Linked DNA regions of Rhinolophus ferrumequinum. The protein of the gene in region 3 interacts with the protein of the main gene of each other region in a pairwise test. Links are inferred from orthologs where the notes say so. Each region holds a gene or a part of one and is shown on either strand. Other genes may lie near its edges. The genes, in order: SNX10, TUFM, ARL6IP1 and MYG1.

The links.
Region 1: the proteins of ARL6IP1 (region 3) and SNX10 interact in binary tests that used the Homo sapiens proteins (3 or more experiments, as listed by UniProt). The two-hybrid records come from large-scale screens. The link is inferred for Rhinolophus ferrumequinum from reciprocal best matches to the Homo sapiens genes ARL6IP1 and SNX10.
Region 2: the proteins of ARL6IP1 (region 3) and TUFM interact in binary tests that used the Homo sapiens proteins (3 or more experiments, as listed by UniProt). The two-hybrid records come from large-scale screens. The link is inferred for Rhinolophus ferrumequinum from reciprocal best matches to the Homo sapiens genes ARL6IP1 and TUFM.
Region 4: the proteins of ARL6IP1 (region 3) and MYG1 interact in binary tests that used the Homo sapiens proteins (3 or more experiments, as listed by UniProt). The two-hybrid records come from large-scale screens. The link is inferred for Rhinolophus ferrumequinum from reciprocal best matches to the Homo sapiens genes ARL6IP1 and MYG1.

Annotation. Positions count from the first base shown.
Region 1 is NC_046303.1:15,185,679-15,193,672, forward strand, and holds the start of SNX10 (sorting nexin-10), read right to left. Parts: upstream 3,016-7,994; 5' UTR 2,977-3,015; coding exon 2,899-2,976; intron 1,164-2,898; exon of another isoform or gene 1,066-1,163; intron 1-1,065. UniProt on the Homo sapiens protein: Probable phosphoinositide-binding protein involved in protein sorting and membrane trafficking in endosomes. Plays a role in cilium biogenesis through regulation of the transport and the localization of proteins to the cilium.
Region 2 is NW_022680357.1:1,235,210-1,242,880, forward strand, and holds the start of TUFM (elongation factor Tu, mitochondrial), read right to left. Parts: upstream 3,012-7,671; 5' UTR 2,921-3,011; coding exon 2,878-2,920; intron 2,774-2,877; coding exon 2,579-2,773; intron 2,111-2,578; coding exon 1,944-2,110; intron 1,779-1,943; coding exon 1,674-1,778; intron 1,590-1,673; coding exon 1,425-1,589; intron 1,292-1,424; coding exon 1,159-1,291; intron 1,075-1,158; coding exon 970-1,074; intron 853-969; coding exon 701-852; intron 616-700; coding exon 496-615; intron 1-495. UniProt on the Homo sapiens protein: GTP hydrolase that promotes the GTP-dependent binding of aminoacyl-tRNA to the A-site of ribosomes during protein biosynthesis. Also plays a role in the regulation of autophagy and innate immunity.
Region 3 is NW_022680357.1:14,985,302-14,992,764, reverse strand, and holds the start of ARL6IP1 (ADP-ribosylation factor-like protein 6-interacting protein 1), read left to right. Parts: upstream 1-4,453; 5' UTR 4,454-4,570; coding exon 4,571-4,606; intron 4,607-6,763; coding exon 6,764-6,897; intron 6,898-7,356; coding exon 7,357-7,463. UniProt on the Homo sapiens protein: Positively regulates SLC1A1/EAAC1-mediated glutamate transport by increasing its affinity for glutamate in a PKC activity-dependent manner.
Region 4 is NC_046293.1:53,190,310-53,197,325, forward strand, and holds the start of MYG1 (MYG1 exonuclease), read left to right. Parts: upstream 1-3,999; 5' UTR 4,000-4,061; coding exon 4,062-4,274; intron 4,275-4,436; coding exon 4,437-4,549; intron 4,550-6,893; coding exon 6,894-7,016. Other genes in the region: PFDN5 (prefoldin subunit 5), read left to right, coding at 901-972, 1,161-1,263, 1,568-1,599, 2,527-2,601, 2,718-2,823, 3,616-3,689. UniProt on the Homo sapiens protein: 3'-5' RNA exonuclease which cleaves in situ on specific transcripts in both nucleus and mitochondrion. Involved in regulating spatially segregated organellar RNA processing, acts as a coordinator of nucleo-mitochondrial crosstalk.

The DNA.
Region 1 (7,994 bases), on a different chromosome or scaffold from region 3:
GAGAATACAACAGAAATGTATACAGAATCACAAAACCTTAAGCAAAGTTGAATCATTTAAAGAACTAAAAGCATCTCCTCTGCAGAGACTGGGAGGAGGGGATGGTTATTACGTAAAAATAAAGTGCCATTTAAGAGTTGCGCTTCACTGAGTCCTGGCTAAGCCCTTTACATACATTCACAGAGAAGAGTACCCACTCCAAGGCCAAGCTGCCTAGTTCAGACCTTGGCTGCAGCATTTAGTAGTTGTCTGACTTAGGCTCAGTACCTCAGTTTCTTCAACTGTAAAATAAAGGCAGGGGCGGGAATAAAAACATGACCTAGCTCAAGGACTGTTAATAGACACAGGGTATGTAAACAGGGTCTGGTAACAAAGCCCTAAATAATTATTAGCTATGACAGAAATCTGGGACACACTCGCTGGGTGGTTAAAATTGTGAGCTAAAGAGATTAGGGGAGTCATAAAGATCCTGATGCCTTAGTTTCCCAGTTTAAATAAAATCTGCTTCATAAGTTTGTTGTGAGGGTTAACGAGACTGCCACACCAAACCTCTTTTCACAATGCCTAGCACATAATAAGTGCTCAAAAAATTTCGGCTATTGCTATCAATCATTATGGGAGACAAGGATAATCATCACCTTTTTACATTTCTGAATAAAGCATAGATGAGACCTAGAGAGGTGAAGCGCCCTGCTGATAGTACGTCAGCTAGCAAACAACTGTGCCAAGATTTCCACTGTGATGAGTCTGAGACCAGAAGTTGTAACCACTACCATGTCCAACCTCTTATTTGAATAAGGCTTAGAGAACATAAGAGCTGATGAATACCGACTAGATTACTTCTAAGAGAAAGAAAAAACTTGTGATAACCGTCCAAAATTTGAGGTATTCTCCATGGAAGTCAACCATGACTTTGGCCAAAAGTTCTTTTTTGCCACTATTAGAAATGAAAGACTGCAAAGGCTGGCCCCTGCTCTCAACCAGTTCTACGCCCTTCACAAGTGGTTGTTAAACTACAGCCCTGCCACCCAGAGGGAAAACAAGCCATTTCCCACAATAGCTTACCTAACCCAGTGAGCCCTTCAAAATGAAAGTGGAGATCCTCAGGCTCAGGAAAGACATCATGAGCGCTCCAAAGTCACGGAGAACTGCTGTAGTACACCAGCGTTAGTCTTTAATGAATACACTTTTACTTGGGAAAGAAGGAAGGTGTTTATTTCTAGTTTGTCAGATACCACGCTCCACGATGTCTTCGTAAAGTAAAATAAGAGGAAGTTCGTACCACAGCCCAGCGTAGAGGGAGAGGAACAGCAGGCAAGAGAGACCTGGTGAGGAGCGGTGTCACCTAAGCAAGTTCCCCACTCTTACGACACCAACTTCCTCACCTAAGTGAGATAGTACCCTCAAAAATAAGAATGCAATCGACTGGCAGAAGAAACAGCACGATCCAGTTAAATACAAGTCAGTGCTAATCACTGTACTTCACACCTTCGTGTATTTACTTCTGCATGTATTTTATTTTTGTATCTTTATTCAAAACAGCCCTATTAGTCAATTTTAAATCTACCATGCCAAGAAAGGAAGGAAGGAAGGAAGGAAGGAAGGAAGGAAGGAAGGAAGGAAGGAAGGAAGGAAGGAAGGAAGGAAGAAAGAAAGAAAGAAAGAAAGAAAGAAAGAAAGAAAGAAAGAAAGAAAGAAAGAAAGAAAGAAAGAAAGAAAGAAAGAAAGAAAGAAAGAGGCCTCAAGAATGATGGCAGAAGCAGCAGAAGCGATTAAGGAGCCCCAGCTAAGCTTGGTCAATGGCTGGAGCAGCTGGTTCTCACTGGTGGCAGCCACATCACCCCCTCTAGCCAACGGGAAAAAGAGAGTTCATACATTCCAAGCCTACACGCACCCCATGCCCCCAAAGGCGGTGAGAACTCTGCAGAGAGAGAACCTAGGCCTCTTTCTGCTCCCTTCTGGCTGAATGACTCCCCTCCCCAGGCCTTAATTATCCTGTCACTAAAATGAAAGGTTTGAATGAGATCACAGGAAAGCCTCCTTTCTGCTCTAAATTTCTAATTCCCATATTCTTACATATTAATGCTTCTTGCAGAAATAGAAGCCCTTCCAAAATGGAGTCACTTATGCTAAGCCCCACGTCACCAGAGACAATACCTAACTTAATTACAGTTTCTGCCTCTCCCAGGAATGGATCTTAAATCAGGCAATCTGGAATGACTTGGTCAGTCCTGGTGAAGTAACCTGTTTGACAGACCCCTGCCCTCCCCTAAGGAAGGTTTCCTTTCCACAGCCAATCATCGTTTTGCTAGTATAACTTCCATGTCCCACTCCCTTCTGCCTATAAAAGTCTTCCATTTTGTACTTCCTCGGAGCTCCTATCTATCTGCTGGACAGGATGCTGGCCGATTCATGAATTATTGAATCAAGGCAGTAAGATCTTTAAAACGTACTGTCGGATTTTTTTTTTAAAACACTTTCAAGCAGGACATGTTGCTCTCAATATGTGACCATTCCTTCCAATAACCCGTGTATAATCTTAACACAAGTATGAGGCATCAGAACTGAAAAACTGGTCGTTGCTTTCCTGTGGCACCAAACCTGGTACTCAGTCAACGAGGTTTTTCTCTAGGGCTTTTTCCCTCAATCCCACAATCCCACGAAAAACAAACCTGCCCACCCCTCCCAATCCCTAAACCCCAAGCTCCCCTTTCACGTATAACAGCATACCCACCCAAACCGGGCCCGGTGGCAGGTGCCACAGCACTTTTTCTAGCATCCAGGATTCCACCTCTGCCCCACCCTCTCCTCTTTTTACCTGAGAACCCCTGGATCAATACGTTCCAGGCCCCCCCCCCCACCCCCCGGCAAATGACCATTTCTTCCTCCCCTGCCCACCTCGGCTGGAAAGGAGGCAGCTGCCCTGCTCCGATCCCAGAAGACCCAAACCTCTTCCCAGCCCGCAGGGAGCGGCATCTGGGCACCGGGAAGGGCCCCACGCCTCGGGAAAGGCACGGGCAGCCGGCGCGCCCCACCCCAACCCCCGGCTGCGGTCCCCACCCCGGCGGCGCAGGGGACACCTCCGCGGGAGGTCTGCTGTCACTTACACGCGGCTCCTCCGGGCTGTCAGGCACAGGACGACTGGCGGGCTGCGGAGTTTGCTGACTCAAAGGCGCGGCGGCGGCGGCGGCGGCGGCGAGCGCCCAGGAGCGCACACGAGCGCAGCCCCGCGCACCCCGCGCACGTAGCGGCCCCGCGCCCGCGCTCACCGCCCGCCGCGAGGCCTCGGGCTTCCGCTGAGCCGGCCGCCGCCACCACACTGCCCAGCCCAGGTGCGGCCCCGCGTCGCCCGCTGCGCCCCGCCCTTCTGCCCGCCCGCGGAATTGGAGGCCGACCCTGGGCGGGCGAGACTGGGGCGAGCGGTGCAGCCGCGGGGGGGCGCCGCTGGGCCGGAGGCCAGATGCCTCCTCCCGTCACTGAAATCCGGCTAGGGAGAAAATACAGCAGCTTGCCTGGACGCTGAGGCTGAAGGTGGCAAAGTGGCACCCTTTGGAATCAACACATGAAAGCCACCTTGAGCTTGCTAACCCCGCCCCCTTAGTTATGGGGAGGATTGATTAATGGGGAGAGGTAGAGATGAACAGAGCATGTGATGAACAAAGGTGACAGCTGTTAAGAGTGGAATCCAGCTGGTGGGCATATGGGTGCGTACTATAAAATACTTCTACCTTTTCTGTATGTTTGAAATCTTTCACAATAAAACTTTTTGGGAAAAAGAAATGAGATCTGTCAAGGGGCCGGGATCAGTAAACTATTTTTCAAATGGCACCTTGGGCAGTGCCTGTTTGCATGGAAAATAAATAACTATGTTACTGGTTAATGTACTTACTATACTATACCTTTTTTATCATTATTTTAGAGTGTACTCTTTCTACTTATAAAAAAATGGTTTGCTATGAAAAGTTGCCTGCCACAGCCTCATGCATCTCGTGTTTACCGCATCTCTTAATTGCATCATTTTCTCTTGCTTGACTTAATCCCATGTTGTTCTGTACAGTAACAGGCTGTACAGGCTTGTAGCCTGGGAGCAGTAGGCTACACCACAGAGCCTAGGTGTGTAGTAGGCTAGACCATCTAGATGTGTGTAAGTGCACTGTGATGTTTGCATTAATGATGAAATCGCCTAACTACTCATCTATCAGAATGCCTTCATTAAGCAACATATGACTGCAATCACTGAAATTACTAACTGGTGACTACATAGCAGAATAATATTTCATTTTTCAGGCAGCCTAATATTTCATTTTTCATGCAAGAATTTCCCCCTTAGATACAGCTGGCTGCTGACTATCATTCAGGGCCATCCCACGCCACCTGAAATGTCCATCCTCCTCACCTAAATTGGCTTTGCATAACAAGGCTTCCAAATCTACAATGTTATGTCTTAATTTCTTGAATCCTGAATGTGCATCACTGAATCTTGAATGAGGTATTTAATTTCCTAAAATTGCACCCAAGTCACAGCACACAAGTGAATGTAAACATAATCGCTTTTGAAAGTCAAAAGTGTATTTTTCAAATTCTAGTCCCTATGGTCTGCAAAGAAAAACTGACTGGAAAACAAAACGCAGGAAGTGTCTATGGTCCTAAAAGATTAAGCAAAATTAAAATCTTTCTGAATATATTATGATCCAGAACATAACCATACAACTGTGGACAGAGCAGCAAAAACCTTTGGAGAGTCTATTGGAAGTCCTTTAAACATGTTAGAATTATGGCCCTAACAGAAAAGAAGACTATGAAAGGAATTCAGAGTAGAATGGAGCAATAATGGGTTATTTTAATCCAGTCCGTTAGTGTAGCAGCTGCCTGGTGTTTCTGGCTTAAGAACTGTAATGTGCAACCTGAATCCAGGGGACTGAGCTAAGTGACTGCCACCTTTTTTAGGTTGTGACTTTTTGTCACCAGTGGGCAGGTAAACGGAGACTCTCTGGTGCTCAAGAAATCCTAGTCTGCTAATAAAATCACCATAAAATTGCTTTCAAGAAGAAATTATTTTACCTGTCCAAATCCTGCCTCAACAGTGACTTCTACATTAAATAGGTTCAAACCCCAGCTTTGCCACATCTCACTCTGTGATCCTGGGAAAAGAACAAACCTTCTGGGCCTCCTTTTCCCATCTGAAAAACGGGGAAGATCATAATAGCACCAGCCTCATCGGGTTGTTGTAGGTGTTAAGTGAAGTAACTCAGGTAAAGCTCGGAGCTGTGTTGGGTACATAGAAAGTGTTCAATAAGTTGTATTTATTATAACTGTTATAACTTGATCCTCTTCTCTAATCCCTTCCATCTCCAAGCTAAGTGCCCTTAGTTAGACATATTAAGGAAAGCCACCTCCGTCCCCTGCCTGTAACTCAAAAGTCAGTAAGAAGCACATAGAGTCCTTCCTTCATCTCCTGGGAAAATAGCAAAATCCACTGACAGTAAAAACTATCTAGAGTCAGTGTTCAGAAATTAAAATTACCTGATACTACGTATATATAACATTACATTAAAAACTCTAAATTTACATAAATGGTCCTGTTTTCTTGAGGAAACACTATCATGGTAGCTATTCATAATGTACAAGAAATGGCTTTTATTATTCATCAAACAACTAATAACGGGAAGTGAGCAAAAAGTTTAAACAAATAACAAATAATTTGGATTTCGATTCCTGATCTTTACAATTATAATCTTTTTTCAATAGTATGAAGACATACAGATTAATGTGAATAAAAATATACACTCTTGGTTATCAATCTAATGTGTTTTTTTCAAAATACCTCTCTTATGCATCCCTCCCATAACAAGACTAGCAAAACGTTTTGAGCCCAATTACCTATTTGTTAGATAAAGGGATATAGATTTCTCATCCATCTACCTACCTCTCCATCTTCCTTACTTCTGTTAGTAGACTACTAGTCTCTCAATTAACTCCAAACCTACTAACTTTGACACTTTGCCTTTGACCTACTCCCTTCCCCTGATCCACTCAGGTCCGAGTCCCAAACATTTTATGTGGTCAGATCTTGGTGTTATTATATCTTCTGCTTTCCGTTCTCCTGCCCAAACTGACTCTCTCAGAGTCACAGTGGTTTGATTTAGTGGTTTTCAAGCATTTTTAGCTATGGGATCCTTTCTTCAAATGAACTCCATTTATAAAATAGAGAAAACAGTATTTGAGTACTATACATTTATTTGAAGAATTTGATTTTGTAACAACTGTTTATCATAAAGAAATCCATGACCACCGGAAGCTGCTTTGTTGAACACCAACATTTGAAATCAGGGGTTTGTTAATGATTGTTGGAATATCCTATCAGTGTCAACATCCAATTTATTTCTTAATTCCATTGCTCAATATTGAGAAAATTCTAAACTACTCATAGAAGTCTTTATAACATTTGTAAACAGTTTAAGATTTTTTTTTTTTAATCTAAGCCACTCAGAAGTTTGAAAGAAGAGTAGTTGAATTTTTTGTTTCAAAGATGAAATACTGGAGCTTTTTCTGCCATGTGAGGACACGGTGAGAAGGCACCGTCTATGTACTGGGAAGAGAAAGCTCACCAGAAGGTGACCATGCTGGCCCCTTAGCTTGGGCTTTCAAGCCTCCAAAACTGTGAGCAATAAATTTCTGTTGTTTATCAGCTACAAAAAAAAAAAAAAGATGAAATACTGGAGACTAGACTTTAGGTGGCAAGCACACAACAGGCTATACAGATGTCGTATTATAAAGTTGTACACCTGAAATTTATATAATGTTATTAACCAATGTTACCCCAATGAAATTAATGTAAATAAATAAATAAATAAATGGGGAAAGAATGAAGCACTAAGAAGAACACATTCTCATGCTTTATCACCAATAGAAAATGCTGGTAAGAAGACCAACATTTACAGAAAGTGCTAACATGTCAATAATGGGAAATACGGTCATGCAACATGCTATGTGTTCAGTTGTCTTTGCACAACAGCCATAAGAAAAAACAACTATGTTTCTCCTTTACTCTCACACTACTACCATACTCGCAACACTTCTTACACCAGATGTGTGGTGGGTTTTCCATGCGTCAAGCAATTCTGCAACACCAGCTGGATATCCTACAATTCAACTCAGTTCTAACACTGAGCTATAGGTTGAATAAATAGGCTAATAGTTTCGATAATGATTAGCATTGGAATTAGGGGAAGAGGGGTCCCTTGTGGTAGGAAATGGGCTAGGGAGGCTTTTGTCTTGTGGCGGAATCCCAGGATTACGGTCCCAGCTCACAGAGGAATAGCCATGCCCAGGTTTATGGATAGTTGTGTGGTTGGTGTAAAGGAGATTTGTTGAGCATCAGATCCCACAGTTTAAGTGGTCAAGACTGCCCCCACTTCAGATGCCAATCACAAGCTCCAGGTTGTCACCTGTACTTCTGACCCATTGGCTATAGATCGGTGTTTCCATGACCCCCTCCTGGGGTTTAATAATTGCTAGAATGGCTCACAGAACTCAGGAAAACACGTTTACTGGCTTATTTTATAACAAAGCCTGTGATAAAGGATACAGAGGAGGAGGTACATAGGGTGAGGTCTGGAAGGGTTCCAAGCGCAGGAGCTTCTGTCCCCATGGAGTTGGGGTATGCACCCTCCCGGCATTTAGATGTGTTCACCACCTCAGAAGCTCTTTGAATCCCTACTTCCAGGATTTTTATGGAAGCTTCTTCATGCTGGCATTATGGATTGTTAATGCAGTTTCCAGTCCTTCTCCCCTTCCTGGAGGATGAGGGGTAGGGTGGAAAGTTCCAGGCTTGTAATCAAAGGTATGGTCTTTCTGGTGACCAGCCCTCATCCTGAAGCTATGGAAGAGCCCAAGAGTCACCTCATTAGAACAAAATTCTCTCTGAAGGATCTTGGAAATCCCAAGGGATTTAGGAGCCCTGTGTCAGGAAACAGGGACAAAGACCAAACATT
Region 2 (7,671 bases), about 14 Mb from region 3:
GACACAGGTCAGCCGCGGCCTGCAGGGTGCCCTTCTGCCGCCACCTGTTTGCTGGGAAACGCAGCCAACGTGACAGGACGGCTCCTCCCAGCTGTCAGGCAGGTACAGAGCACAGGCGAAGGCCAGAGGGGGCCGGGGACAGGGTCACAGGAATGCACCTGAGAACACAGCCTGAAATTCGGGGTTATGCAGCTTTCCTTGTCTCGGACTTCTCTGAGCCCTGCGTACAGTGAAACTCAAGAGAAGCCGCCTTCTGCAAGCCTTTCTGTGCATAAATGCAAGTACAGCTAAGCCCAGGGAATACTGGATCAGGCCTCATTCACCCCAAATCCGTGGGTTCAGACCCTTCCATCGCTAGTTTCATCTGTGTCACCTGCCAGCCTCTCCGCCCACGGCAAAGTCACCCATATTGTCACGTCTCCGGAACTGTAAGTGCAGAGCTGATACGAAGAGCGCCCCCTACCCCGCGCCTTCACCTTCCCCAGCCCCCCGTACCTTCCCTGGAGGCAAGATGACACGACAGGCCATGTCCCACGTCAGGGAGAACATGACGGGCATGAAGTGAGACACAAAGGGCTTGTGACGGCCTCCTTCCTCTTTGCTGAGGATGTAAACCTGCAAGAGACAGCACGTGGCTGGAAGCTCTGCCTCTCCGGATGGGCTCAGCCCTGCCCACCTGACCTCCACCCTCCGGGCTCACCTGTGCCTCCACCTTCTGGTGGGGCTGGATGGAGCCTGGCTTGGCCATGACCAGGCCCCGCCGCAGGTCCTCCCGCTTCAGGCCGCGGACCAGGGCTCCCAGGTTATCGCCAGCCTCTGCCCTCTCCAGGCTCTTGTGGAACATCTCGATGCCTAGGAGGGAGCAGGGGAGACCAGGGAGGACGGGCTGGGGCAGAGGGGAGGCACAAAGCATCTGCAGGGACAGCCGTCACCCTGGAGCCAGCCCCGGGACCCCCAGGCTTCTGGTACCTGTCACCACCGTGCGAATGTTCTTGTTATGTCCCAGGAACTCACACTCGTCTCCCTTCTTCAAAATGCCACGTTCTAGCGTACCTGTCACCACCGTGCCCCGGCCTGGGAGGGAACAAGACAGGCCATCAGGGACCCTGGGCGAGGCTCTTGCCAGGGCGACAGGATGCGAACGGACACGGTTCTCACCGGGAATAGAGTAAACTGACTCCACAGGCAGCAGGAAAGGCTTCTCCAGGTCCCGGGTGGGCACAGGGATGTGGGTGTCCACGGCTTCCAGCAGCTTCTGTACAGACTTCAGGCCGAGCTCAGGGTCGCGTTGCTACGGGGGGAGGTGACAGGACTCTGACGTTTCCATCCTGCTTACCCAGAACCACACCCAGATTCAGCACAGCTCTGCTGCCCACCCCACCCTCTCTGCCACGCACAGCAGCCCCCTGCCTGGCTGCCTTCACCTCCAGGGCACAGAGCGCAGAGCCCACGATGACAGGGGTCTCCTCCCCTTTGTAGCCAAACTCCGTGAGCAGCTCCCGGATTTCCAGCTCAACTAACTCGACCATCTCGGAGTCCTGGACGGCATCTGCCTTGTTCACATACACCACCACGTGCTCCACTCCAATCTGCAGGCGGGAAAGAGACATGGGGTCCTAAGCGGCCCCGCTCCCTACTCTTCCTCTTTCCACTCCTACCCAGGCTCTGCCTACCTGTTTGGCCAGTAATAAGTGCTCTCGGGTCTGGGGCATGGGACCGTCATTGGCTGCCACCACCAGAATGCAGCCATCGAGGGGGGCGGTGCCTGTGATCATATTCTGGGTGCGGGAAGAGAAGAAACAACCTACTTCAGCCATCTCCTCGGTCCACATCCCTACAGGTCTCAAGCCTAGACGTCTTGAGTATCTCAGCCTCCTCCCCACAAGTCTCCCGTCTTTCCTGCCGGCAGGCGCTCCTGGCGCTGTCCCCAGCCCCACTCTCACCTTAACGTAATCTGCGTGGCCCGGGCAGTCTGTGTGGGCGTAGTGGCGGGCCGCAGTGCTGTACTCCACGTGGGCCGCATTGATGGTGATACCGCGGGCGCGCTCCTCGGGGGCGTTGTCAATCTCCTCGTACTTCTTAAACTTGGCCCCGCCTCCCTCCGCTAAAACTAAGGGAGGGCGGAGAACACACCTCTCAGCTGCGGTTCCAGGGGGAGAGGCCGGGCGCGGGCCACACCCCTGGGCCCCTCACCCTACGCGGACAGCCCCGGAGGGTGGTCCCCTCCCCTCGACTCCTCCAGCAGAGGTAACCGAGTCAGAAAAGCAGGAGCAAGGGTCTCAAGCTCCTGCCCAGCGACCTCTCGAGGGTAAAACGAAGCCTCCGCTTACAAAGCAGCCCCCACGGCGGGAGGGAGGCCGTCCAGCGTTCCCCCCAATGCAGCCATCACGAAGAAGTTCACGGGAGGGGAAAGCTGTCTCCTGCAACAGCTTCCAACCCACCGGCCACCCGAGCTCCGGCACCTGCGGCTCCACTAAACGCCTCCAGCGGCCCCTCCGCTGGCCCCGCCTCCCCGGCCCCAGGTCCCTCCCGCTGGCAGAGCGGGCGCCGCCGAGGCGCCCCCTGCAACCCCGCTTACTTTTCGTGATGGCCGCGGTCAGTGTGGTCTTGCCGTGGTCCACATGGCCGATGGTTCCCACGTTCACGTGGGGCTTGTCGCGCACATAGGTCTTCTTGGCCTCCACGGCCAGCCCGCGGCACAGAAGGGGCAGGGCCGGGGCCTTCAGCGACCGCAACAGACCCTGCAGCGCGGGGGTCGGGCCGGCGCCGAGACCTGCCGGGGCAGAGGTTTGGAGTCAGGGCGCGGGTCCGAGCCCGGCCCACTCCTGACGGCCCCCACGTGCTCCTGGGCCGCGCTCGCCCTCCCCGCCCCCTCACCGCTGAAGAGGGGCGTCGCGCGCAGCAGGGTGGTGGCCGCCATGGTGGTCGTACGCCCGCCCCGAAGACGGTACCGGGTGCCCGCGCGTGCAATGAGGAAAGGGCAATTGCGACTGCAGGACACTTCCGGCGGAAGTGAGGGCCCGGAGGGCAAATCCCGGCGCCTCTAGCCACCAGTTTTTATGGCCCTCGCCGACTTCCGGGCGCGGGACGGAAAATGTCAAGGTAGGTAGATGCTGGTGTCTTCGGGGCGGGGAAGGACAGAGGTTTCCACGACGCACTCGGCCTCCCGGGGGGAGAAAGTCCACGCAGTTCTCTCCCGCGGCCCTGGGGAGCGGTGTAGAGCGAGCGTCCCATAATGCACCAGCGCCCCGAAGCCTCATGGGTGTTGTAGTTCCCAGGGCGGCGGGCTGTTTTTGCGCTTAGTGTGGGAGGTAGGCAGGGCGAGACCGGGTCCAGAGGGAGGGGGCCCCGGCGCGGACTGCTCAGGAACGTCCTGGCCGCGAACCCCCTGGTGTCCGACCCACTGCGCGGGTCAGACGAGAGATCTGGCGGCCCTTGTCCCGCAGCTGCAGGTAGGACGAGGCTCTGCGGCCAGGCTGAGAAAGACGGTCCTGGGCGCCTTTCGGGGGTGGGACTCAACTGTGACCCATCTCTCCTCTGCGCTTTTCTTTTCTTATCTGTAACATGAGACTACAGGAGGGATATCTACTTCATACGGAGATCCTGACGTCTGGCTCGGAAAGGAAATGAGCTGGGGAGGAGGCAGGAATGGGGTCGTGGGGCCTCCAGGTCCCCCAGTCTTTGACTCTCGAATATCCACCCTCTTGGCTCACAGCCTGCGGGGACAGACAAAGCTTTGCCGTCTACCCCTATGGCCCTCAGGAGCCCCGGGAGTAATTCCCTTGCTCGTCGCCCCACCCTCCCACACAATTTCCCTAATGACACCTGAGGGTGAGCCTCAGGGACCTTTCAGAGCAACCGGAGCCTTTCTGGTCCCCACCGTGTCCCTAGCATCTCACACAGGACGGGGCACCCAGTGAGTGCTCAGTAAATATCTGCTGACTGACCGGATGCGTGCAAGGATAGTATATAATAACCTTCATCCATCGTCTTATCACCCTGGGATGGTAATAGCAGCAGCTCGGCCCTGGTTAATGTTTCTACAATTCATCACGTCCTAAGACTCAATTGACCTGATGGTGTTTGTTTCAAATAGATTCCCTAAATTCTTGCTTAGAGATGATGACTCAGTAAGGTCGGGGCACAGACAGGGAAACCATATTTATGTATCACACAAACACACACACACACTCTCACACACACACACACCCTTCTGAAGCTCAGAGTTTGGGACACAGTAAACTCGAGCTTCTATGGATCAGATATGCAAATGCTTCCCATTGGTTCACAGTCAGTGAATTGGTTCCCAGTGTTACTGTGTGTGGTAGGGCCCATATTCCCCCCATTTTACAGGTGAGAAAACTGCGTATGGGGATGATGAAGAAACCCAATACAACTGAATTCCGAAACAGTGTACACTTGACTACTGTACCAAACTGTCGTTTAACTATCCTTTTACTGCTCATCTAAACTGAAGAACTTAATACTGACACTTCGCTCCCTCTGGTCCTCCAACCCATCAGCTCTGCTTAGGGAGGGGCTGGTACAGTATAAAAAGGTGTGCTTGGTCCCCACTCTGTATCTCAGTCACCCTACTGGAAATTTGTCCTAAGACACTATTGGCCACTAAGGGATATGAGATTTTTTGGGGGTGGTACTTAAACTTTCTTCTTAAAGAAACTTAAAGCTTTCCATTTTCGTGGCGCTATATTTATTTTAACGCGTGTTAGTTAAAAAACAAAGAATAAACACAGTAAATACTGTGTTTAAGAAAATGAATCGATTTTAAACACGCTATTTGGTAGATAATATAGGTGGTATGTATATATGGCAAATGTGGGGGGAGGCGGTACATGAACAACTGAGATTTGAGAAACAGTGCTCAGAAAAGTAAGTCCAAAGGGAGAGAAAATTCTGTAGAGCTGTTGATGTAGCATCCTCTGTAAGTCAGGAGTTTTGATTTACAGAGAACAGAATTGACGCCGGCTGGTGTAAGCAGAAGAGGGATTTGTTTTAAGGGTATTAGGCAGCTTCCGGAATTGTGGGATGGGCTGGAGAAATAACGCCCCAGCCACAGAACTGATCTGACCTGATAAGAAAACTGTCGCTACGCCACCATACACTGCATGCCAGGACTGAGATTTGTCTGTAACAGCTACTGCTGTTGGCACTGAAGCCATTTCTGCATCAAGAAAGAGACCTTCTCTCTGCCCCGCACTCCCCACCCCCAAACACAGGTCAACTCAAAGCCTCACGTGCAGGTATCTGATTGGAGAAGCCTAGCTCGTTTGTCGGTGTTCTTGTATCAGGAGGCTCACAGATGTTCTGTATTCTGACTGACGTTGGGGGCCAGGGGATCTCCCCCAGATGTCCAGTCCTGCCTATGACCAATATCCCAGTGAAAGAGCAGAAGGAACACAAATGTCCAGGCTGTGGCTACGGTAGCGTGAATTTTGGCACGGCCACTAAATGAAATATTAGTGAATGGGCTCAGACTTGCAGAGACGAGAGGAGCCAGCCACCTGTGAAAATGCTTGTGAGCAGTGTTAAATGAAGCGGAAGCCTGGCTACTATAGGAAGGTGGCATCTGTACAAGACGGGAGTTGGGGGCCTTGGGGACAAGGGAAGTCGAAAATCATTGTGACTTAGGAGGCTGTGGATTTGTTTTGAGGAGGAAATTTTTCTCTCTTTCAAACATTTGTTTTCTGTGATTCCAGTTTAAAGAAAAACTTCTTAGTGCAGAATCTTGAACTCTTTAAAAAAGATACTCTTGAAATCCAATGGCTTTCCAGGTCCCCTCAAGTCTGTTCATGCTTCGGACACTTTGCACTCCTGTTCAACAGCCATTTTCCATCTTCCTGCAGCCAGGGCCCTGAGTTTGTTCCGGGCGACCTTTTCTCCTGTCCAGGAGTAAATCCTGACAGGTCTAGTCCACTTCTGGGGGGGGGTCCTATTCTCCTTCCCCGGAAGCTTGTGTCAGGTTCGGGGTGACTCCTTTGGGGCCAGTGATTGGTAAAGGATCTGCTTGGGTGTGTGTGTGTGCAGGGGAGGGGGGGTTCCCAAAAAGGGTCCTTCATTCTTAAGAAGGAGACACCAAACAAATGGACCTCCTTCTGCCTCTGAATGTTGCCAGGTCTGAATGGGAAGCTTAGAACTGCTGTGCCCATCCTGCTCCCAGGTGATGATACAGCCAAAATCCAGAAGAGGGCGAAGCGAAGAGGACCTTAGAAGGCTGGACTCCGTGTGGTATGTGATGATGGACGGTACACGTATTGTTTAAGCCAGACCGGGTCAGAGTTGTCTGTTATTTGCAGCCAAATGCGTCCCAACAGACACTGTCTCTTACAGCCCTTGGTACCCTGAGACGTATTTCTTGTCTGGGACTGAGTGACTTGGGCAAGGCCAGAACTGGGCTTCCTTAATCTCTGTATCCTCTGTGCCTGGCCACTGTCGGTCTCTGAATATTGGCACTTGAACTATGAATGCGCCTCCCAAACGGAAGAGTGCCACCGTGTGGTGCCCTGGACTTAACCATCCAAAACAGGATTCTCAGTTCTCTCCCTCACTCTTCCTCACACATCTAATACGCGGCGTCACCATTCTCCCTTCCCCTCACCCTACACCTAGCCCAGTACCCAGTCCTGCTGGTTCTCTCTCCAAAATATATGCTGAACGTGAACACGTCTCTCTCCACTATCAGTGCTGGTTCAGACGGGGACCATGTCTCATCTGGGCTACCTCACGATTTTTCCAAGGAACCTCCCGGCTTCTACTCTTATTCTCAGTACCTGTCAAATGCATCCTTCACGCAGCAGCCAAATCGGTCTTTAAAATGTGGATCAGAATTTAATCCCCCTTCAATGACTCCTTCTGACACTTAGCATAAAATCCATACTCCTCCTTGAAATGGGTGAGTTGTACGGCAGGTAAATTGTATCTCAATAAAGCTGTCATCAAAAATCCAAACTCGGCCTGTGGCCCCCAGGGCCTGCATAATGTGGCCCCTGGTACCTCTGAGCCCATCTAGTATGCGTTTCCTCTCCCTGCCAGCCACACGGACCATCCTGCTGTTCAGCAAACATCCCACCATTGTTTCCACCTCACAGTCTTTGCAGATGTTTTTCCTTGTCGCTTTCCCCGTGGCTCGTTCTTTCTCATCACTCCAGTCCCACCTCACATGGCACCTCTTCTATCTAAAGTAGCACCCAGATCATCCTTTTAGCAGCTCTCCTCCTTTGATTTTCTTCCTAGCACCTAAATATCCAAAATTATCTTAGTTTGCTTGGTTGTTTGGTTATTTTTTTCTGTCTCAGGACAGTAAGAACTTGTGTTTTACTCAAAGAACAGTGCCCGACACTTACGGGAATTGTGTGTTGAATCATTGCAGTTGGGTATTTGTGTTGGGCTTGTTAAGTTTCCTGCTGTTTGCAATGGAAAGCACATTGTGCATTCACATTCATTTTTAAAATAAAGCTGAGTCAGTGTAACTTTTGGTGCCTCTACTGTATTACCCATAAGGTGGGGACAGAGTGGCAAGGATAAACGGTATGATTTTTAAGATTTCCTGTAGCTCTGACTTCTCAAGGGAGGGCAGGGCCAGGTGTCACCGAAACGAGTAGTGGGCTGGCCCCCAACTTCGTGGCAAAATGAGGACGAGGACCCAGAGCTTTG
Region 3 (7,463 bases):
TAATTCAACTCAAAGTACCCTTGGAAATTGGTTTATCTTAAATGTTTTGTTGTCTTCGGTTTTCTAGAATGCCCTGAATTTTAGTTGATTCCTCTACAAAGTTGTGGAGGCCGTGGAACTGTATTTCTCTGTTTCTTTGGTGTGTCTTGCAGCACCTCCTTATTTTCTGATCGAGTTCTTAACATAGTTTGCTAGATGATTAAGATTCTTTTGTGTCAGACACTTGTGGTTTTTTTTTTTGAGATATGTGAGAGAACTGATAACCCAGCTCTTGATCTGCTTGCCCACATGGCTTCTTTTCAGAGCCCAAGCCCCAGGTTCCGGATGAGGGCTTCTGATACAAAGAAAAACCTCCATCACTTCTGCCCTTAACACTTGCCTCTCTTACCTAAGCTTAGTATGTAGCTTTCTTCATATTGTCCAGTGTTTGGTGTTATCTGCTTTGTTTTTGTTGTTTAATCGTGCCCGTTCTGTCGTGTGAAATTTAAGGAAAGAGCCATTAAAAAATGCCCCGCAGGGCAATGCAAGTACAGCCAAATATTAGAGTTAACGTTCAGTCTTTCTTGTACTATAGGCAGTACTTTCAACTGAAGAGTCTTCCTGGCCTGTTTTCCTCCACACACGTGTAATTACTCCGGGGGCTTACCTTGTTTTGGCAGTCACCAGCTCCTCCTGCTTTTCTCCCCCTTCTTTTCACATTAAAGAAAGCCTGTTAGCCTACAATTAGCCAGTTGGCCCTATTCACCTACATCAGAAATCAGCGGATTCTTTACTATTAGCACATTTAAGAACCTCTGTCTTAGGTAAAGTTAGATGACTGAACACCAGGGACCTTCCATTCTATTCTGTATCTTGAACTTGTAAAGTGCCAGTAAGTTAAAGCTACAACTTCCTTCTCCGTAAATCAAGGAGCTACAATATATCAATGTGAGGGTCACTTCAAGAAGGTAGCCTCTGTTTTCAATATTTGGGTTGTACTAGAAAGATTCGTTCTATGGGAGAAAAGACTAGCATTACAAATTGGTCTGAACCTTGGGGAAGGGACAGTTCACTTTGCTGTGACCCCTAAGGGTTTGTGGCACTTTTTTCTAGGCTTGGGTAACACTATCACCGTCCCTTACGTGCAGATGGACTCCACTTTAGAGCAGCTTTTCAGGTTCCAGGGTTGGTTGTACAGTGGGACCTACTTCGGAGTCGTTTGCCATCCATGGGAATTTGGCGGAGCTTAAGTGGGGAACAGCTCTCTGGTGTGCTAATGTGAAAACGTCATACTACGACTACTAGCTCTTTAGGACTTTGGAAGCTGGTCAACTTTAGGACTTTCATGTTCTGAAATGCAGACTTGTAGAACGTTTTTCTTTGAAAACTGGCTGAATTTTTGTTTTCCTTTTCCTGAACAGTCCCAGGTTCAGCTCCTGTTTCAAGTTCTTGTGTCAGTTGTTTTTCTGGTTTAAATTTTTATGCCTTGTATTTCCATCTGTAATGCCAGTGACCTCATCATCACTCCCTTGTTAATTTACCCTCATTATAAGAGCAAATTGAGTTGAACTGGATCTTGTCCTAGTAAATGTTGTATAAATAAAGTGGCTTCTCTGTACACAAGGTGGTCATGCCTCCTGACGGATATCATTCTGTGATTGTATTTAAGATTAAAAGTTGAATAAATCACACCAGCTTCCTGAAAATGTTCATAATGCATCTTTTGGAAAACAAAATACCTGCCTATTTTGTGCATATTTGCATCGACATGGCAAAGATTGTATGAAATACCTGTTTTTCAAAAAATAAACTCTTAAAAGACATAGCATTTAAGCTCTGAATTTATTGCTTGAAGTAGTTTCCAGAACTTAATTTTGGAATATGGGTAGCTTTTTTAAAAAAAGGCATTAATACCGCCAAAACTTTTTCAACTTCTCAAAAAAGTAATTTGTTCTACCCTTAAAGTTCTATATAGTACTTTTGAACAGCAGTAGAAATTTTACTTCAACGGGGGAGTTCTTGGTATTAAGGCACAATTTATTAAGCTTAATTTTGTTTAACATTTAAAAACAAAACTATAGAACATTATTGATGTGTACATTTCCTGGGGGTGTGAAAGCTCTGAAGGAAAAGTAAAACGTCCAGCTTGTTTTAATGTCTGGAAATCAGACTGCATTTGTTGTTGCTAGATTGTGTTAGGATTTATGTTAACGGTTTAGTCATCTGGCAGGTTTCAAAAGATCACATCCTGAGCGGCTCAGTGATTGGCCAATTTCCTAAACTGTTGGAAGGGGGGGCCACTCAGAGGGGGCATGTCTTGAGCTGTATTATGCAAAGAACCAACTGAGCCAAAACTAACAAATGAAACAGAACTCTCTTAGCCTTAAGAAAGCTATGTACGAATAATTATGTTTACCTCACTGGTGCATTTAAAATGGACTTCCGTTCATGGGAGAACCTTGTTGACATTCACAGTCTGCAGCCTTTCATTGATTGATGTTAAACGTCACAGCAGTCCTTGCTCAATAAAGGTCATATTGGAAACATTAAAAAAAGATCACATCCTGTTTTTGTAGTACAAAAACCAAGCTCAAAAGGAAGCTACACTAAGGGTAGGTGTTTTTTCAGTTAGGCCAATTAGAAGTTTAAAGACCTGATGGCAGTGCCCCTAGGCTGTGAAGTTGCATCTAGTCCTGGGAACACATTCCTCGAGGAAGGAAAAAATACTCCCCGAAGCAAGTGCTGCTGGAGTTGCTTTAATTTTTTCCACCTACCTCAATTTCACAAGCTGGTGTTGAAAAGTTGTCTTTAAGTTGTACATAGGGAACTTGGGTGAAAACCAGAAGTATTCTGTAGCAAAAGCTGATTTCCCAAAACAGACATGTCATTTTGTTGTTTGTGTGGGGTTTTTTTTTTTTTTTTTTTTTTTTTTTTTTTTTTTTGTCACTTTTTAAAGCCTAATAACTCTAGGGCCTGTCCTTTGGGAGTGGATGTTACTGTGCCTTTCGCAAAATTGTGCTCTCAGTGCTCAATGTATTCACTAATTATGTTGCTGCTGTTTGCGACCTTTCATCGTATTTTGAAGAGGTAGGGGAAGGCTGGGCCCTTAAACTTCATAGCTTAAAAATGGGGTCGCTAGATCAACTTGCTGCATCTTACCTACATAACCCATCTTCTGCCCCCCAACACCTCCAAAGTATTACTTTATTGAAGACCCTCTTCCCTTGCTAAGTCTCCCCCCACCAAGTATTTATATCTGATCCAGTTGCTTTATTTTTCAAAGACTTTCTTGAAATTCACAATGCTGCTGTCCCCCTGGCTTTCTTCAGGGTGGAATGTGTTCTGTAGCTACCGTTGCCTCACATTTCTTTTCTGCCTTCTGTGAACTCTCAACCTGGTAGTAAGGAATGCTTGTAAAACAAATTTGAATTCGATCGCATATTCTAGATGACTATAAAACGTTAAAAAGCTATGCTACGTTTTCCTAAAACAGACATCTGACCAGGTCAACATTTGGCATGCCTCTGTTTGAATAACGAAAATCGAAGCACTTAATTCATTTTGAAATTCTGGAGAGAGAAGGCGTGGGAAGTGCCTCAGCACAGCTCAGTTCATCTAGTTACTCAATTGCTTATGAATTCCACTGCTGATGCGAGTTGACACGTTAGCATGACCTCTAGTTGTAAGGTGGTCAAAAGCAGTCCTTTTTGGAGAGGAACCTGGTAGCTTCATAAGCAACTCAAGGGCTTCACACAGAATTTTCCAAAAGACCCCCTGTAAATAAGCCAGCTTTAAAGCCGGTGCATCTTCCATGAGTCCTCAAAGTATGACCCCGATCACCCCGCTACATCCCTCCCAATCAAGCTAAAGCCTTTTCCCTAATAGGAAGGAAAAAATGCAGAAAATCTACATAAATAGCTCTTTCCCATTGTCCTCGAAACCTCAGGAAGTGGGCACGAGTCTCCGAGTCGCAAATCTCGGCTAGACTGGTCAGTGGCATGGCTAGAGTGACCAGAGCAGGAATAAAAAGAAACCCCGGGGGACAGCGAGGGTGAGGGCACTGCCTGGTCGGGCAGAGGATCCCAGACGGCCCCTTTCATTACAGCGCGGTTAGCAAAACATGTCCATCTCTGCTCTCCGCCTGATACTGGGTAGCATATTTCTTCGAGAACTAAATTTCAGGAGAAGTTCCGAGACATACCGTGCCAGCCAACCCTGGGGATACTGAGGCCCAGTCCAGCCCGGGTCAGCGGTCGTTCAACAGATTCCGAAACGCCTGGGCGGGGCATCGTGCATCTCCTGTGCGTTGATTGGTCATGCTGTGTCCCCGCCCCCTCGGCCCTGCGCAGCCTCGCTTTCCTTTGACCTCGATTTCAAGCCATGCGCTGGGCAGCAGTTGGTCCCGCTCCCCTTAAGCTTGAGCTCGCGCTGCCCAATGAGGAGCGAGCTTCGCGGGGGCTGTCGGGAAAGGCGGCCGGCCTATATAAGCGGCTTGCGGGGCGTGTCCTCGCGCCGGGGTCGCCCTTTGGGTCTCGGAGGAAGGCTGTTTCGGAGGGCGGTTTGTGCTCGGTGAGGCGGTATTTCGGGGACGATGGCGGAGGGAGATAATCGCAGCACCAACCTGCTGGTGAGTCCCGGCGCCGCGACGCAAGGGAAAAGGAGTGAGGCTTTTGTATTGTGTTAGGCTCAAGCCGGCGGCGCCGCGGCCCTGGCCCTCTCCCGGTTTCCAGGCGCAGGCGGCGACGCCTGCCCTTTCGGGCTTCTTGGGAAGCTCCTGCGTGGCGGTCGCCAGTCGTATCGTCCCCTAACATTCTCTGGAAAAGGTGCGCGAAGGAGCGAGGAGGGTGCGTGACCAGTCACCGCGAATACGGGTTGAGGAAGTGGGCAAAGGGGGGCTGTGACAAGCCCGGGGCCGAGGGCCTAGGCCCCAGCCGTATGCGGGTTTCCTTCTCTTTGACCTTAATCGGGATGCCACTTCGTTCTTTTGCCCCAAACTTGCGCAGGGGTGGAGGGTCAAAGGGCCGCTGCCGAGAAGTTCGGTTAGAACTGGCACAGCTTGAAATGGCAGGAAGGCTGCGAGCTCACCCTGGGGAACTGGGAGTGGGGTACGGCTGGCAGGACAGTGGGAGGTCCAGGCGTCTGTCCGGAATGTGTAAGTCTGGGGGTCGCAGGACGACTTTAGAATAAGCAGGGGTACGAAGGCACTGGAGTGAGGTTGGTTGTATCCCAGGCGGACAAGTTTGACCTCACTACGATTTTCATGGCACGATGGAGGCAAAACCGAGAGAAATCCGTGCATTTTCTCCGTTGCCTTTCTCCAGGGAAAGGCAGCTGCACACCACAATCACAGTGAATAGAGGGAGCAAAGAATTTAAGTTTGGGCTTTTGATTATCCAAGAGCCCGGGTGCTGACGAATTAAGAGATTTTGCAGGGCGGTTCGCGCGATATTCGTTTTGCATTCATTTTTAGAAATGCATGACTTACCCCCTTACACACACACACACACACACACACACAAATACAAATGCATGAATTACCCCTTTATACACACACACAGAAATGCATGACTTCCTTACACCCCCCGCCCCCCCATAGTTAGCCCCAGCCAGGTTCCTTTTTAGAGGATGATCAAAGCACAGAGAAGTTACCCCAGGTCAGGACTCTTTCCGGTAGAGCAGTGTGACTTTTCGGGAGGACAAGGCTCTTGGCCTTGGATTTCCTGGATTCAGATCTGTTAACGTCTGTGTATTTGTTACAGTTTCCTCATCTGTAAGTGAGGATAGTAACACCTTCCTTTTAGCTTGTTGGGACGTTTAAAGTGTAAGCGTGTAAAATACTTAGTCAAGTTTCTTTCACATAGTAATCTCTTATTTATTAAACATGATATGGGAAGTCAGAAATACTGAGGTCCCCTAGGTGATCAGTGTGGCACAGAGAGCATCTTTCATTAAGATTAAGCTGCGCTGGCTGCTGTCATTTGCACATTTCCCTGTGATAACATTTTTTAAGGACACATGGGTATCTTGTCGCAATGTTTTTTTCTCTGTCAAAATCAGCTAGAGGACTTTCTGCCACATTAGCTCATCCTACAAGTCCACTTGCAGCTGATTGTCAGATTAGCAGAGAAATTTGAAGTCTAACCAAAATGTCCTGATAAACGTGAGAAGCACTATAGAGGTGATATATTGAGCTTAAAATGAGTCATATATTTTGGTGAAAGTAGTTTTTCTTAAATGTGCAAATCATGTCAACATCTAAATGATTCCATTACACAAAGAGCTATTTTGGAAACTGAGTGCTGTTCAGGGAAAGGCTTTCCTAATGGACTTAGAAGTAGGGGTTTAAATCAATGAAATGACAAGACAACAGATCAATTCCAACCACCCGAAATGAACGAACATAAAGTGATCTAATTTTATACTCTGGATACTTTGCTTCCTAGGGCAGGACTTTGGGGGAGTTAGTTAACCATTCTTTACTTGTAAAATGGGGGTAATTATCCCTACCTTGAGGGGCTCAATGAGGATTATGTTGCATCATACCTGAAAAGAGTAACCCAGTTCTTAGACTTGGGAGGTGACCGTTAAATGATAGCTTTTTTCCTCCGTTGGTTTTTGTCATTGGTACCAACATTGTAGAGTATTTTAGAAACTAATTTGTTTAAGATAGTGATTTGATTAACAGCTATTTTACATACTTGGTGCCTTACAAGAATTTAACTTTAGGAACCACAGAAATGTTGAGAGTAGTAAAATGATGGCTTTAAATGTTGATCACATGTAGGCGGAAGAGACTGCAGGTCTGGAAGAGCAGCTGCAAGGATGGGGAGAAGTGATGCTGATGGCTGATAAAGTCCTGCGGTGGGAAAGAGCCTGGTTTCCACCTGCCACTATGGGCGTGGTTTCTTTGGTGTTTTTGTAAGTGAGCTTTTCTGTTCCTTAAGGTTGTGCTTGTTATTAATAAGGGCTTAGGTAATACACAGCCTCTGTTTATGGAGGAGCCTTAAGTCTTTTGTAATGTGTAATCTGTAACAAATGCCTTTTCTTTGAGCCGTTTGCCTAGTTTGCAGAATTTGTAGTACTTCCATAAACTTGGTGACCTAAGTCAGTTGAATAACTCGGTGACTCTCAAACCGTTTGGCCTTAGAACCCTTTACACTCCTAAAAAGTATTGAAGATCCCAAAGAGCTTTTGTCTCTTGGTATTTACACTGCAGCTATGTATGATGTTATGAAGCTTCCAGAAAACCATGTGTGAGAAAATTAGAATGAAAAGGGCAAAATAACATTTTTGAGAACCAGAGGACAAAGTGAATAAACACTTAGGAATAATGGCTATGTTTTTCTAACCTTTGTTCATTTTTTTTTTTTTAAACAGGACTATCTACTATCTCGATCCATCTGTTCTGTCCGGTGTTTCCAGTTTTGTTATGTTTTTGTGCTTGGCTGACTACCTTGTTCCCATTCTAGCACCTAGAATTTTTG
Region 4 (7,016 bases), on a different chromosome or scaffold from region 3:
TATGACTGTTCTACCTCCCATACTTCGATTTAACCCTTAGGATAAATATTTTAAGTGATTTCCCCCAGTGTTTTATATGAAACATTATCTTTTAATTTAACTTTAATATAATAAAGACATATTACTTAAACCTTGTTTTGTGTAGTTCATCTGAAAACATTTGAATATGACGGGTGCCTCTCCACTCTCCTCCCACTATGTGGTATTGTAAACGGAACAGTTTGCAGTTCAAGTCTGAGAGTATTGGGAAGAAGGGCAAAACCACAGGACAAAGCTGGGCCTGGTTTGGCCTCAGATTCTGTGGTCTGCTGCTTATGTGTGACTTTTCGCTCCCCAATTAAATTGTTAATCTCAGAAGCACTGATCGAACACATTCATGTATCCCTCACATCTAGCACATGGTAAAACATTGTATTTACTAATAAACCTCGTGCTGTAGTTGGTTGATAACTTGCCTCCTTATTGTTCTCTTCACCAACAGACTCTCCTGCTTCATCTTCCCAAAGCACCACTGTCCCGATGCTACTTACTCCCCTTGACCCAAGAACTTCACAGGCGTCTTCCTTGCCTGTCAGTCACTGGGTTTATACCGCCCACGTGGAGTAGCAAGCATTGCTCTGCAATATTGTGGTTACAGCCTGAGTACTTTTAAGATTTTTAAGTTCCTTGAAGGCAGGAGTCCTGTTTACTACAACTTGACTACGCCAGGCTTGGGATGTTTTATGAAAAGAACGTGCGGCTATCTTCTCTAATCCAAGGCGAGATTCCATTTCGGGACGGAGGATCATAGAGATGTTTGGCGCAGCGACGCCTCCAGGCACAGCCATCGAGATGCGCAGAGGGACAGCTAGAGCGTCGCTCGCGAAGCCGGCTTCCGCTTTCTGAGTCTTCCTTCCCAATATGGCGCAGTCGGTTAACATCACCGAGCTGAATCTACCGCAGCTGGAAATGCTCAAGAACCAGCTGGACCAGGTGGGGACGGGCCCCAGAGATACTCCTTTCCCGCCTCACATCCCTCCTGTCCACGCGTACGCCCTCTCCCCCCCCATTCCTCCCCACTTTGGAAGGCTTCTCTTCCCCTGCGAAACCCCCACCCCTTCTCTGGCGGTGCCCCCCCCCCCTCCAGTCCCTGCACTGACCCTCTTTCCTGAACTCTGTAGGAAGTGGAATTCTTGTCTACGTCCATTGCCCAGCTCAAGGTGGTACAGACCAAGTATGTGGAAGCCAAGGATTGTCTGAACGTGCTGAACAAGCACAACGAGGGTATGGGGTAGGCGCGCGAAGGCAACCTGGGGGATGTGGTGAGCCGGCTTCTCTCGTCCCGCCCCTTACTCCAGTCTTCCTTATGTGAGACGAGAAAACAATTCATTACGTATTATGTACTGCAGCGTGAGCCCTTTGCATGTTACCTATCCAGAATTGAAATGTACGGGACATTCCTCTGCTCTTGCCGCCCGTTTCTGTTCTTTTCATACTATCTGCGCTGTGCCATATAGGAACTCCCTTCAACCTCTTAAGGTTGGAGCTGCCAACCTTCCCCAGATGTTTGTCTTAATTGTTTTCACAGGGAAAGAATTACTCGTCCCCCTGACGAGTTCTGTATCCTTTCTACAGGAACTCCCTGCCCTTTCCTTTCTCCCTCACCCCTGCTCCGCAAAAAAGGCGTGTAGTTTTGATGACTCCAGAGTGCCCCCATGATTCTGAGAACACTTACTATATGCCCAGCTCTCCTATTTATGTATAACCTGGGGCCGACATGCAGCTAATGCCTTGTGAGCACCAAAGAGCATGTAGAATTGAGGTGTGATTATTTCCCTTTGCTGTTTGAGGATATAATCTAACATGGAGATAAAACTGGTGGTTTACGCTTTTACTAATAACTTAGAAGACATAAGCCATAGAAGGGTAGAATATAGGAACAAGGGAGTTGGCTCTGTTTATTAATCCTCAATTCAGCGTAATTGTGGCTCTTAATTCCTAAACTGTTACTAAGAAACCTGGATTGTGGCTACCTGTTGATTGTTTTACTTGAATGATCAGGTTACCACAGTACAGCACCTGCAGTCTGAGAACTGACAAGCTAAAACAGAAACACGGAAATAGCAATGTAGTAGGGATTGGCTAACTAATGAACATTAAATCCATCAGGAATTAACTAGTTCATGGTTGGGGGTGTTGAGGGGAAGTGAGACCGGCTTTTCACTTTTACTACTCTACTTACAGTAGGAAAATACTGTAGTCTCTCTGGAGGGACTAATGGGAAGAATTGTAAACACTGCTTGGAGGGTGGGGGATGGGATCAGGGCAAGAGAGTAGTTCAGTGTATGTCGTTTTCTCCATAAGGAACCAACTTCTCTGTCTCTCCACATTTGGAGTTTATAGATGTTGTTCTAAGGCCTCCAGATTATTCAGTCCCTGTGCCTTGTAGCTTTTTAGCAAAAGAGGTTCTTAGGAGGCCAAGCAGGCTTGCTGATAAGGAATCATGACTCATGCTGGGCTAGTTTTTCCTTAATCCTTGCTTCTCAGATGTATGTCCCTGGGAAGCTACATGATGTGGAACACGTGCTCATCGATGTGGGAACTGGCTACTATGTAGAGAAGGTGAGTGGAAAGAAGCATGTGGATGCCCCTCTAAGCAGGGAAAGGGAGTTTAGGGGAAGATTTAGAATGCAGCATGGGGTGTCCTGTTAACCCCTCATCCACCTCTGACCTTTTAGACAGCTGAGGATGCTAAGGACTTCTTCAAGAGGAAGATAGACTTTCTCACGAAGCAAATGGAGAAAATCCAGCCAGCTCTGCAGGAGAAGCATGCCATGAAACAGGGTAAGCTTGGTATGGGCACCTCTTGACCCTTTCTGCCTCCATGATAGACAACATGAATTGCCTTGAGAACCACGGGGGTGTCCCCTTTGCTGGATTAAAACCATGTCTTTCTCTTTGGTGTCTTGATGTGTTGTTCTCTAGATTCTGTGCATTACATACCCACTATTTGTAGATACTTGGGTTGGGTGCTTGAGAAATTTAGAGGAAGGAATTCATGCCTGTGTTCTTGCAGAGTTCCTATTTCATGGGGATGGAGTGAGGGAGGAGATCCATGTAAATGAACGCACAAGAAATAAATATAGCCCTAAGTACTAGCAATTGCAACCTGGCTGTACATTAGAATCACTCAAGGAGTTTAAAAAGCCTGGGCCCACTCCAAACCAACTAAGTCAACCTGGGTGGTGGTGGTGGGGTTGAGGGCAGGCAGGGTTTCCAGGGTTCAGTTTTTTTCAAAAAAAAAAAAACACAAAAAACTCCCCAGGTGATTCTTTCCACAGTCAGGATTGAGAACCATTGTCCCAAAGGCAAAAATCTTTCCCACGTTATAATTTTCTGGTTATGTCTGATTCATTTAATACTGCATTTTGTTCATTTTTATATCCCAGTAGTTGTCATATTTACTGACACATTGTAGACTCTAAATTTGTGTGTGTGTACCCCACAGTGGATCACTGTTCAAAGTTTTATTAATTGTAGTTGGTCGTCTACCTGTCCTTAAAACTTCACTGTCATTTTTCTTTAACTCTGGGTTCTCCCCTTTAGCACCTGACCAGGGTCTTTTTTTCCCCACAGCTGTCATGGAGATGATGAGCCAGAAGATTCAGCAGCTCACAGCCCTGGGAGTGACTCAGGCTGCCAAAGCCTGAGAGCTTGTTTCAGAAATGGGGCAGAGGGACCTGGGACTTTTTTGGAGGGAAGAGAAGGGCTTTGGATGTTTAATGCTAATAAATGTTCCACCTGGGCAGAAATGTTGGTCTTTTCTTGCATTAAGCCAGGGACTGGTGAAGAGCTGGGAGGGCAGTGGTGGAGGGGGTGTGCCTGTCCCCAGAGCCTGAGGCAGCGCTTATTTTGGAGGCTCCATTCGGACCCCTGGAGGAGCGGGAGAGAAAGCCTGCGCTGCGTACCCTGCCCGGCCTGCGGGGCCGGTTGCTGTGGGAACGGCCGCTAAGCGGAAGTGGGGCTGTGCGGCCGCTTCCCTTTCCGGGTCGGTGCCCCCGCCTGCGCGCGGGGGAAGCTGCATGGACCGCGGAGTTCTGCGCGGTCTCCTCTCGCTGCTACCTCCGCCACTCCACCAGGTGCGGCCTCGCATGCTGAACCCGGAGTCCGTGCCGCCCTCCAAGCGACCCCGCAGCCGCCTCATGGCTGCGCCCCGAATCGGAACGCACAACGGCACCTTCCACTGCGATGAGGCCCTGGCGTGCGCATTGCTGCGTCTCCTGCCGCAGTACCGGGTACAGCCTGCCAAAAACGCTGGGGCTGCCCGCCTTTCCTAACGGGGTCCTGGGGTAGCTCGGGCGGGCGGCCTGAGCACTCCTACCCTCCCCGGCTCCCGTGGGAACCTCACATTAACCCCCGCTGCTCTTGGCAGCCCCCTCACCTGTGTTCCCCTGCAGGATGCGGAGATTGTACGGACCCGGGACCCCAAAAAACTAGCTGCTTGCGACATCGTGGTGGACGTGGGTGGCGAATACGACCCCAAGAGACACCGATATGACCATCACCAGAGGTGGGTTCCCAGATACCTTTTCTTCACGTCAGGTTTTCTCAGTGCTCCAATGCAGCCGTCCGTGTCAGCAAAGGGACTGCCTCATCCTAGACAGCAAACTCTTGTGTCCCCTGAGGCTGCAGCCCTCCATCCTTCTAGCTCTCCGCCTGCTCTGCGCCCATCCACCTGTCCTTGGACCTCCCTGAACCCTTGCATCTGCCCGGGCCGCCCTTGGCTCCCAGTCAGTCCGTAGGCTCCTCACGGCTCACCTCCTTCCTTGGCTCAGACTTTTCTCCCACCAGCACCGTCGTCAGGCCAATTAATACCCCAGCTGGGACTAATCCATTCATGTGCCTTTGCTGCCCCGGTTCAGACTGCTGCGCCCACGTGATTGTGGTGGTTGGTGGTAGTTGGTGTGTGTGGTCTTCGCTTTATTTACACTCTTCCCTCGGGAAATCTGTCTTTTCCAAGGGTACCCCATTATCCACACTGCCATGCCAATTCTTTTCTCCTCATGTCCCTACCTCATCAAAATCCCTCAGCGAGTCACCCTGCCTCTTACTTTTCCAAGGAAATTTAGTTCCTCCTACATGCATGTCCTGTTTCCCACTCTCAAACATCCTCAGCTCCCTCCTTCCAGTTCAGGAAACACTGTTCCCTTGTTTGCCCCCTTTCCAATCTATTACTTTCTCCTCTTGGACTTCACAACGCAAGTCTCCCACCAGTGTTTCTACTTCTCCTTGCTGGCAGCTTAAAACTCCGCTCAGGCATCTCGCATCTTAAAAACAAAGGAACAAATCAAAAAAAAATTCTCCCTCATGTATACCTCATTGTTTACAGTGGTTATCTCTGAGGAATTATGAAGATAAATTATTTTGTTTGAAGTCTTACGTATTTTCCTCCCTCTTTTGTTTAAGTGTACATATTATTTTCATAAATGATGTTGGGAGAGAACCCTCCAGGTATTTACAACCTAATCTCTCACCCTCACTTCTCAGTCAGTCTTCAAAAGAAGAGCTGACCCTAGCTCCACATCCCTTCAATTCATACCATTCATTCCTTGGTTTATTCATTCAGCTGGTTCTCTCCCAATCTCTCCATTAGACATACTCAAGGAAAGGGCACCAGTGACCTCAAAACCAAACTCAGGTTGCTGGCCGAACATTTCTGGACTATAAAACATAAAATGAACACTGGTGAACCAATGTCCCTACCTAAGATCTGTAACATTCCCGTTACCTTTGCGTCCGCACCTTTCCATGTGCTTCTTCCCTATCCTACCCCCCCGCACGCCTCCCCCAGAAGTAAGCAATATTCTGAATTGTGTGTTCATCATACCCTTGTTGTGTATAGTTTAGCACGTCTGTTGCCAGCAACAATTTATTTGGTTTTGCTTCTGTTTGAACCTTATCTGGGGGAGTTTTTGTTATGAGTCTCTCTATATATACCTTATGAATATTTTATAATTCTTTTTGTATTTACTCAGTTTTTAACAATAAAGATCATTACAACAAAAAAATAAGCTCCCTAGGTGATTCTGATGGACTGGCATTTAGAAATTACAGCTATAATTTCTACTTCCCTAACAACTGTCATACCTTTTTCCTATTCTCTATCCCATTACTATGCAAAGTCCTGCCTTTCTCGCATACCTGGACCACTACAGGTATTCTCCTTGCATCTGTTCACCATGCTGGCTGGCACAATACTTTTTCTAACATGCACTTGCCTGCTTAAAAGTCTTTCAGTGGCTCCCATTACCTGCAGATGAAGTCCAAACTCCAAAATATCGCATACAAGGCCTGCCATGATTTGGCCCCTGCTTACCCTTCCACTTTCTTTTGCTACTCAACCCTCAAACCCAAGCTGCCTTTCTTGCAATTCCATGGAGACCTGTCTCTTAGCCATTGTACATGTTATTCCTTCTACCTGGAATACCTTTTCTCCTTCACCCACTAATTCATCTTTCAGGAATGACCTGCAAGTTCTCCTCCTGAACCCTTCCTCACCCCCTTTCTGTTTATAACCTAGCTAGAGCATTCGCTTGGCTGTTTGTGTGTCTGTCTGCCTCTAGTAGATGAACTTGAACAGTATCTTATTCATTTTTTATCCCCAATGTCTAAACACAAAGCCTGGCATGCAGTGAGCATTGAGTTAACCATTGTCAAATGAATGCATGGAGACTCCAAGCCGAGGTCCATGTTGACCCCTAAGGAAAATCCAAAGCCTCCCCAGCTGGGCTTTCTCTTCCCAACTCCTGCAGTATTCCCCAGTCTTCCCACCCCCACTTGTGCCTGCACATGCATGCACACTGTGGGTTAACTAGGGCAGCTCCGCCTCAGCGCCATCTCCCTGTGCTCCTCAGGTCTTTCACAGAGACCATGAGCTCCCTGTGCCCTGGAAAGCCATGGCAGACCAAGCTGAGCAGTGCGGGACTCATCTATCTGCACTTCGGGCACAAGCTGCTGGCCCAGTTGCTGGGCACTAA